Caenorhabditis elegans: one gene and its partner. The protein of the gene in region 1 interacts with the protein of each later gene in a pairwise test. Each region holds a gene or a part of one and is shown in the gene's direction. Other genes may lie near its edges. The genes, in order: cec-6 and sdz-12.

The links.
Region 2: the proteins of cec-6 (region 1) and sdz-12 interact in a two-hybrid assay, tested with the Caenorhabditis elegans proteins (one large-scale study listed by BioGRID).

Annotation. Positions count from the first base shown.
Region 1 is NC_003282.8:5,543,116-5,549,208, forward strand, and holds cec-6 (Chromo domain-containing protein), read left to right. Parts: upstream 1-1,744; coding exon 1,745-1,900; intron 1,901-2,312; coding exon 2,313-3,077; intron 3,078-3,125; coding exon 3,126-3,867; intron 3,868-3,918; coding exon 3,919-4,362; intron 4,363-4,409; coding exon 4,410-4,755; intron 4,756-4,808; coding exon 4,809-5,031; 3' UTR 5,032-5,344; downstream 5,345-6,093. Other genes in the region: tebp-2 (SPK domain-containing protein), read left to right, coding at 33-675, 735-983, 1,036-1,251.
Region 2 is NC_003280.10:3,729,372-3,733,631, reverse strand, and holds sdz-12 (Zinc finger protein sdz-12), read left to right. Parts: upstream 1-1,808; 5' UTR 1,809-2,083; coding exon 2,084-2,200; intron 2,201-2,323; coding exon 2,324-2,380; intron 2,381-2,444; coding exon 2,445-2,585; intron 2,586-2,641; coding exon 2,642-2,860; intron 2,861-2,903; coding exon 2,904-3,083; intron 3,084-3,150; coding exon 3,151-3,249; intron 3,250-3,300; coding exon 3,301-3,480; downstream 3,481-4,260. Other genes in the region: bath-31 (BTB domain-containing protein), read right to left, coding at 555-674, 717-868, 913-1,448, 1,494-1,606. UniProt on the Caenorhabditis elegans protein: Together with ehn-3, may play a role in gonadogenesis.

The DNA of each region.
Region 1 (6,093 bases):
TCATAATCCATCGTAAAACTTACTCGTTTCAGCATCGAGCGAAAGTTTAACGTAAAGCTCCTCGTTGGAATAGACCGCAACTTGATATCCTATAAGCTTTTGGATGCAGAAGAAGAAGAAGTGATTGAGGAAGACGACGAATCGGAAGAAGTTGCTACTCTAGAGGTCATGGATGTTGATGATGAAGATCTGGATGAGACGGTTCCACTTGAATCAAATGAGGCCATGATTCATATGGATGAAAATCTCGATACATCAGTTTTGTCTAACAAAACGATGGATTCTGTGAACAATCTAGAGAATTCTATCACCGAGAGTACAAATGACTTTACCGTTTTCGAAGGTACAGCTGCCGCTGTGCTCCTGCCTTCTGAAGTTGTATCTCAAGATGTTTTTGGATCACAATCCGACTCAACGGTTCCAGAATCTGCTCCAGAGCCGGCCGAGATTTCTTCAAGTTTGGTGGATTCTGATGATCTGAACTCGAAATCCGCTCAACAAGTCTTGGACGATGCAGACGATGAAGATATGGATTTGATGAACGCTGATGTGATCTTGCCCTCTGAAGCCGGTCAAGGGTCTCGAGACGTTTTCATATCACAATACGACTCAACGATTCCAGAGTCTTGTAGCTTTGATGAGTCCATTCAAAATTCGTCCAGGGTGGAAGAGGAGGTAATTTTAACCCAAATTTACACTTGAATAATAGTTTTTTAAAATTAATATTTTTCCAGAAGCCATCTTCCCACGTCCCATCATCGTCAGCAGCTGAGCCCGTGTTGAAGTTACCTCTGGTGCCCCAGTTATGTCGAACAGTTCCCGGTGCTCCAGAGCCAGCCAAAATTGTTCCAATTTCGGTGGATTGTGATGCTCTGAAGTTGCAAGCCGTTCAACAAGTTTTGGACGATGCAGACGATGAAGATTTAGATTTGATGGGCTCAGCGCTAGAGAAGGCTTTTGGAAACCAGGAAAATTGGACTGACGTAAGAGAATGATGCAGAAAAATATAGAAATTTAATCGGTTTTTTTTTTCAGAAGTCCGCGGCGAAGACCGTTACAAGTGATGCCATTACCAACGCGATTGAAACCAAATTCACAGGAATCTCTCGCGAAGTTCTTCTGGAACAGAAGGAGCGTCTCGTAGAAGAGGCTCTCGACAACGTCGAAAACGAGAAGGTTCTCGAAGTGCGCACAGAAGCCATCCGAAAAGCGCTCATCGAGGTTGATTTTGGGCCAACCAATAACTGTTGAACTTGTTTTTTTTCTATTCTTCCATTCAATTTCTCTCACAGTTAATGGATTTTCATTCTTTAGCCTCAGCCCTAAATAACTGTTAAATATTTTTTGTTTCTATTTTTCATTCTTCTTTTTACTTTATCTCACAGTTAAAGGGCTTTTCTCATTCGTTACCCCTCGCCATAAGCCCTAAATAACTGTTTAATTTTTTTGTTTCTATTCTTTTCAATTCACAAGTTTTCATTCTCTACCTCTCCTTCAATTAAAATCAATTTTGTTGTTCTCGAGATCTCCCGTTCATCACAAAAGCGTGTTAAACAACACTTCAAAGAAACGGATTATTTATTCTTTTTTATTTATTTTTCATCTGTCAAATACATTTTTTTAAGAATTTAAAAAGCTGGAATTGTTATATTTTAAAGTTTGCTCAAGTTCTTTTCAATATTTGCAACGCCAATTCTTGTTCCAGATTTTTTAATTATTTTGAAAAACCTGTTGTAAATTTCAGATGTCTCATGATAGTTCAGGAGAATATATGGTCTCGCAAGTGTTGAAATGCGTGAAATTCAAGGATCTCGTACGGAAAGCACTAAACGCGGAGGCAAAATTCAGCCCGGCCTCGGTCGAATATGACAAGCGAAGGCATTCAAAATATGCGTACTTGGTTGGTTATTAGGCAGGATATGTACGAGAACTCGTACGTTTCTATATGTTCTTTCATCTTTCGTTCCCGCATGACTCATATCAGCATTATTTGATATTGCATTTACCACAATAACTTTTGTCTAAGTGCCCCGCCATTACGATAATTTCTCCATCCCATTTCTCATGTTTTAGATCTTCCCTAAGTTTTGAACTTTTCTTTTTTTTCATGTTGGCAAGTAGTACATTCATGTACATTTATAAAAGATTCGATTTTGTTCTTCCAAATTAGAACTTGTTCAAAAATTTTGAAAAAAGTACAAAAACTTATGGGAAGACCTGATATTTATAGCTTATCTTTATTACAATAACAGTCATTGTCTGACCTAAAACTTCTTTGGAACAACTGTTTTGTAAAATTGGTTTCATTTCAGGTGCACTGGCGAGGTTACGATTGGAAAGAGCGCACTTGGGAACCAGAGGAGAATCTCGAAAATTGCGAGGAGCTACAAAAGTTCAAGGAAAGAAACAATATGTCGTTGGATCATCTAACCTTCGAGCATCATTATGAGCATTCTACGTGGAGAAGGATTTCGCTAGCAAGCGAAAAATGTGTGACGAATCGATATTTGAAGACCGATGACGAGATTGAAGAAAAGAGAGCTCGGAAAAAGGCGAAACTCGAAGAACAGAACAGGAAAGAACAAGCGAAAAACCCCCATGCTTCCGCAGAAACTGAACCAGCTGTGAAGAAGAAGAAGATAGAAGGGGTAGGATCCAGAATTCCAAAGATCAGTGATCGGGAAGGAGCTGGAACATCAGGACAATCGTCTAGCAATGTTTCTACTCCTGGGATAACACCACTCGACAACAAAACTCCGAGAATGCAGAAGAAATCGAATGAAATAGGCCAGGCTTCAACTCCAGAGTGTGCAATCGCAACATTATCAATTGGCACCCCACAGCCTTCGATAATAGATTCCACCTATGACCAGTCAGATATTGCAAATGGTTCCACAAGTCCCCAGCCGCAGCCTGTTTTCAAGAGAAAAATGAATGGCCAAGATGTGTCCGATTATTCTGTTCATCAAGGAGGAACATTCAGTGACGGTAGTGCCATAGAAGGTTCCACTTCTCGTGAAAGTGAGGATATGGACTGCACTCAAGAGACGAAAAAAGCTTTACAGAAAGCTATTGAGGTATGCACGTTACAGATCCTAGATTTCAAAAACTTTACAAAATTTCAGAGCGCTCGTGAAGAATGTGAGGAGATAGAGAAAACGATCAAAAAATATCCTCTGCAAGTAACATCGTCTCGTGTTGTTACTGGATTTTCACCAGCTCTAACTCTCAGAAAATTTCGTCGTTGTCAGTCACTCGAGATGCTTTCCGATCATTTCAACAACAATGCGGAAATGGAAATTTTCGGAAAGAACTTTGAGAACTCTGTCAGATTGGATGCGGACGCAAAACCAGTGGTTATAAAGATTTATCCCCAAGAACAAGAACTATTTCTAACGAAGCAACGAAAGATGCCTTCACTTGAAATGGAGCAGCTGGTTTACGAGAATCTTGTTAAGGAAAACGCCAATAATATCAAAATAGCAATGCATAATATTCGGCCAGACAAGAATTTCGCTCAGTTGCTGGAATGCTTGTCACACGCGTATTCCAAAGATGACAATATTCGCTTCGAAACGATCTTCAACGAAGGATTCCCTCCGAGTGATGAGTACGATTGTCGAAGATTCCAGGCGATCGTGTTTCTAATAGCCTACTGTAAACACCGTCTCTGGAAAGCTGATCCCAAAGGCATGGCGATCGTGGAAGCATCCGATGCGGTGAAAGAAGGAGAAATTAGAGAGCAGCAAATCATTTGCTCTGATAGGCATAGAAAATGTGCCTGGCTGCAGGTTTTCTTGAAACTGATGCCAGACCGATTCAAATTTCTGGAAACTTCGGGACAATGCTATCACGGCTGGGAAGGAGGTAACGAGATAAAAAAGGAGAATAAAGTATTTATAAAGCATCTTTTTTCAGATGACGGGCCGTTCCGCGACGACGTATTCTTCCATTGCATGAAATATGGAGCCGAGTGTCAGAAGCGTCTATTCCTCGACTTCAACAAACCGATTGGAATCCAAGAAGAAACCGTTGGCGATTACAGTGTCGACGCAATGCATCTTCTGGCTGTTCAATATGGCAATATTCAACGAATCCCGTCCTATTTATCAATCGGTGGACTCGATATAAATGCTCTTGCAACTCACTTGCCAACAAAACGAGTGATGAGACTTCAACATTATTTGAAAGTTTGGATAGAGGCACATAAATCCGAGACGACAGCCACAGAAGATCGGAAGAAGTACTATCGATACTTGAATGATGTGATTCGACTTACCAGTGAATCGTTGGAGATTTTTCTGGAAAACGAAGTTACAAAAATGATCTTCTCGCGTATGGGAGGACGATGGAAGATTAGGAGTAAGTTTTCGTTTCCCATAAAAAATATTTGAAACTATTCATTTCAGTGGATCTCACATATCCTCACATTCTTCGATGTTCACCTCTCAGCAACAAGTCCAACGGTGGTGATGGAACTCATCAAGTATTGAGTTGTCTTTTTTATCCCGAAGCGATCGGATATCGTGATGGTTTGGAGAACTCTAAAGGAGCCGACACTGAAAAAATTGATGAGCTGAAAACAAGTCAAAAGCGATACAAGAAGATGATCGAGGAAGGGAAGGGTCGACTTGTTCTCGCCTTATATCGAATTGACATTGAGTTTCGCTGTAATCTGGCCGAAAAGGAGCAGTTTTCTTTGCCAAAATTCACTCTGATCGAAAGTGATGACGGGTTCAAAATTGAAAAGTTGACGTGAGTTTGTAGGCAGAATCTGGTCATCTGATGAAAAAAAAACTATATTTCAGATTGCTCCGTCAAACGGAAGGTCTCACTTGTTACGAAGCCGACATAGGAATGTTCGAAATGACTCCGTTCTCATCGCCGGGCTGTCGATACTTTGGTATTTCGGACAAAGCTCACGAAAAAGATCTAGTGGTTCCCGGAAATGCGCATATCGAGATGAGAGCAGAAGTTGATCAGCCGATAAGCTTTGTCACTCAACTTTTCTTCATCAAAAAGAATGTCTAATTCTTCTTATTTCCATTTCATCCTTAAACCCATCGTGTTCAATTATCCCCTCTCCTTGTTAAATGTTTGTTTTTTTTCTTTTTTGATGTTAAAATTCCTCTTCGAACACGGTCAACATCTGCTTTAAGTTTTAGAGTTCATGATACTCAACTTTCAATTGTTTCAAGATCTCCCAGTTTTCAGTTTGGATCTCTGCTCGTATTTCTCCCCCGAATCGCATTTAAGGAATATGTAGTTCCATTTTTTTCTCAATAAGCTTTTTTATTCGGTTGAAATTACTTTTTGAAGCCGAAAATAAACATTAATTTTATTCAAAATAATTCCGCTATCTAGTAATCATTCGTCTTGAATCGACTATTGGAGTTATTTTCAGATAATTTTCTGTAAGCTTCAGAAAATTGAAAAAAAAAACATTTAGTTATGTTTAAAAAAAAACGTTTTTTTTTATGAAACTCTTTATTATAAAATTGAAGAATTGCAAAAAAAAAAGAGATTTTTCCAATTTTTCAAATTCTAAATTTTGCTCCAGTTCTAGTACACATTTGAAAGTATGCATGTACATCGAAAAACTCACTAAAATCTTTCGCTCTTCATATAAAATTTTCATCAAACTGATGTAAATTCTCTCCCCGTTTTTTCGCCTTTTCCTCTCTTCGTCTTCATCAGATTCTCACGTGTTTTCATTTTTTTTCTCATTTCTTCTCTTCAGACACATACATAGATATACAAGAAAAAGCTGTCAAAACATTGTCTCTTTCTCCATAAACCTGCGTCTCTTACTACTCGCTATGAGAAAAAAAAGAAGAAAAATCTTGAAAATGTGTAAAAGTATGCATTAAAAAGCATGTGAAATCCCACCGAACACCGGCAGCCTAGAAAAATCCATTTGAAACAATTCGGCCATCAAAGTGTTCTGTTCCTTCTTGTTCGCCCCGGCGACCGATCAATTCGTTCTTTCTCTCCGCACTCACTCATTTCACTCGCTGCTGCTACTGCTGTTTCTTTTTCTTCTTCCAATTTCTACTCGTGATTGAAATGTGTATATGCGTAGGGGTGTTTATA
Region 2 (4,260 bases), on another chromosome or scaffold:
CATGCGTGCCTATCGAATTAAAAACATTCATGGAACTTTTTCTATTTGGAGGTTCTGATTTCTTTATTCCATCGTTTTTTCTAATCAACACTACTTCTATTTACGACGACGACGACGAGTTACTGTCAAACACCGTCCGACGATTGAAATCTTCAATTTTTTCCAGTTTTTGAGATTTTTTTCGAGTCTTTCGAATTAAGCTTATTTTCGAAACCTCTAACTTCTTATTTTTCTATGTTTTTGAACTTCACTTTTCAAAACTATATTTTTAAACTCCACAAAATATAACTATGTATATGTCTTATCAAAATACTTTATGAAATGCTAGATAAAAGTTTCTTGAATTCTTGACTTGACTTTTTCTGGTTTGGTCTGGTTCATGATTTGAATTTCTTCTGTAAGTCTTCAAATTTTCTCATCAATATAATATAAAGAAAACGTAAATTTATTTTTTGTACTGGCAAATAAAACTTTACAATTGAAAACAGAGAAAAAATAGTGGCCAAAAATCAGTTATTAGAAAAATGCAATTCATATTTGAAAACGAACAATTTTTAAACTTCAAGAACTCGCTTCAAGACCCGCTTCATCAGGAATGGGCTCATTTCATCAATGTTTCCAGCGATAATTGAGCGGACATCTTGGATGGTTTTGATGGTGTTGCAGCAGTGAATCTGGAAGATAAAATAAGGTTATATTCAGGTGCACGCACTTACCTCTAGTTTCTCCAACTTGTATCTAATTGCCAATTCCAATTTCTTTTTCCCGGACTTCTCGGACTCCTTGTAAAGAAATTTCTCGCATTTCCCAATAACCGCTCTAGAATCGTACATGTCAGCAAGTTGAAGGATTCCTTCGACGGTATTGTCTGAAATTTTTAAATTATTACCAATGTGAGCACTAAAAACTAACCATCAATCGAGTCCTCCAAATAGAGAACTTCCAAAAATGCCTGGAAGGCTTCCGGGTCTATCCCAGAGAGGGTAACCTCTGATTTCTTCGACTCGCCGAAACTGCCAAAGAACAAGGATTTGAAGTAGGAGCACTGCAGAGCGAGATGCTTTCTCAGAACATGAAATCTCTGCTCATCCACTACCAAAACCACATCGGACAGCTCTCCCATAGACTCATTGTCGAACTTCAAAACCGGATCTCTTCCCTTGAACCCAGAAGCGTTCAATATTTGAACATGAACTTTAAAGTGTAGCGCATCTTCAATCACAAAGTTTTTTGCGACTTTCTCCCAATCGGCAAACTGCTTCCATCCCCATGAGTTTTCCTTCGGCTTCTCACTATTGAAATTTACAGTGGCTGTTTTGCAGTGGGGAGATTCATTGGGAGATCTAAGCTTCACTTCAACATTCGCCTGAACTGACCAAATTGTGCCAAGTTGGTCGCAACTAAGATACACCTCAAGTTGATCAGTTCTTCGATTGACATGGAGTTTCCTGGAAATATAAAAATTTAAATAAAAAAAGGAAAGTTAAAAATACCATGGAATATAGTAATATTCTTTAACCTCGCTGCAATAAGTGGTATCCGGCTTGAAGTTGGAGATTGCTTTAATAGTGTAAGTTGACACAAATTCCTTTGTTATAACGAGCATGTCTACTAACCTACTAAATTGCAGAAAAATGACGAATAGGAAGACTTGTAGAGGCAGATTATGAGTGAATAACGCTAGGAGATAATCTTAGTGGATCGATAAAATAATGCATAATGCAGCGTCTCGTTTCCCGGCAAATTTGGCACAGTTGGCAGCTGGTCTTCCAAAAATGTTGTGAATTTTGTTAAAGATTACAATATTCCCCCCAAAGAAGGTGCATCGTCAATGGAGAAATTACTGAAAAAACTGAGATACTGAAAAACTCAATCAGCTCTACAATGTGCAATTACACACATTTCATAAATTCGTCGGCCCCGCTTCTCCAAAAGCCCCAACGTCATATGTGACGCAACTTCTCACAGCTTTCGAGGACACAGTCTTTGAACTTATGTACCTCTTTTTGCAACTACGCAAAAACATTTCTCACTCCCCTTCCTCCCTGCCCTCGGACAATCCGCAGAGATTTCTTCTGTGAAAATGAGTTTGTCATCACTAGACGCCGTATTGTCGCTTATTGCAACCTCTTCCACTTTGGATCAGGATTCTGCTAAGGTGCCCCAGTGTCAAGTTTGCAAAAGAAAGTTCGCGAATCAGGTTAGTTTTTGAAGTGAGCAAAAAAGTGTTGTTAATTTATCTTAATTTTACAAAATTTACTGTACAGCAGATAATCTTCCTTTTTTTGCTAGTTAGTATATAGAGCTCACTACCATTTTTCAGAAAACGCTGAGAACGCACATGAAGCACATTACGTGTAGGCCTGGACGTTCCAATGTGGTGAGTTTTTGAGAAAATGTTTAAGCCACTGAGCTTCTCCTCCTCCAACTATACGTTTTTTCAGGTCAATCACAAATTCAGATGTGAAAATTGTGAGAAACAATTCACCAACAAGCCAAACTTGAAGCGTCATCAAATAACTCACTCTGGTTCAAAATCCAAGAAGTGCAGCACTTGCCAGAGAACATTCTTCAGGGAAGATCAGGCAAGCAGATTTTATTCCATTTTTCCTGTTCAATTCCAGCAATTTGTAATTTTCAGCTTCAAAGGCACCTGCACAACCATCTCAAGGAAAGATCACATTTCGACTGTCCCGTGTTGAACTGTTCAATGCAGTTCGTATTCTATGAGGGCGTTGAAAATCATCTCGTAAACCATCACCACTTTTCATACAGCGAATCGGCTCCGTGTGGAAAATGCCACAAGTTATTCGGGAGTCCTAGGCATCTCCTGGTACACTACCATTTTGATCATAAAGAGGTGAAAAGCTTTATAATTCTTTAAGACTTAACAATCCTTTCAGGCTCTGCGCTCTTCGGCTCCTGCTCCCACAAGCTCCGCCAGACTGTCACCTATCACCGTATCAACTTCAGGAAGTCCCAGAGCTCAGTTGGCAATCTCGCCACAAGAGAAGCCGCCTCAAAAATTGAGCATAAATCTAGGAACTTCCCCGATGATCGAAGAATTCTGTGAACAGAACTCGGTATGTTTTCATTTTCAATATTGGTTTTGGTGCCGTTCTTTGAAACCATTAGACTTGAAATTTTCAGGCAACTCTTCCAAACACTGATCAACAGCTCTCACCAACTCTAAGCCCCAATGAGCCAAGGTTTAGAAATCTAATTACCAGTGAGCCAACCCCAAGCTTTGTAAGTTCTTAAGTTTCAAAGTACACTTTCATCAACTCAAAAGCTCTTCAGGAATGCAAGCACTGCACGATCAAGTTCCACGATGCCACAATGAGCATCATGCATAACGCCCTTCACGCGCCAGGAAGCCCATTCAAATGTGCAATTTGTGGAGCAGAATGTGGAAATAAGATCGTGTTCACCATGCACATCATCACTGCGAGTCATGATTTTGGTGGCATAGGAACTTAATTGATAAGATTCTACTGCTTAATTAATATTTTTTCTTGTTAAAAGTACTCAATGAATCTCGTTCTCGCCCTTGAAGGAAACTGATAATTGTTGATAACTACGGTAACCTACAGTACCCTATTCTATCGTGATCACTGATTTTATGGAGTAATCAAACAATTAGTTGGTCTTCAGAATACAGGACTGGTAGATCAAACTACGCATAGTTTCTTTTTCTATCTACATCTTCTTCACTCTCCTTCCCATTTGCTCTCTGCCAATACCGCGCGCCAAATCGATAATTGCGCCCCACCAAAACACTCTGCGCGGGTTCATTTATTCCTTCACCTCTACTCTCTTATCAATGGACCTGCCTGAAGCTCAAGCTCTTGTGCCAGTTTATTCTCAGGTACTGTAAAATTTTCACAAATTAATTAATAAAGGATCCATTTTTTTTCAGGAATTGCGCAAGGTGCAACAGTTCAAGTAATTACATTCTCAGAAATCTCTGAGCAATCACATACGGAACACCAAATGTGGACTTGGGCTGTCTTCTTACGAAGACGTTAGTGCTTAATAGATAGCGTTTGGCATCATAATCTATCTATCTCTATCTAACTCTATCTAACTTATCTATTTCAGAGGTACACCTGCGAATTCTGCGGATCGAAATACAATTACCAAAGAAGCCTGGTCAGTCATATGAAAAGTCATCTGGAAACTGAAACTGCCGCTTCTCCAGCTCCTATGCAGACCAACTATCTCACGTGTCCTATTGGTCAGTGCGAGATGAAGTTCAGT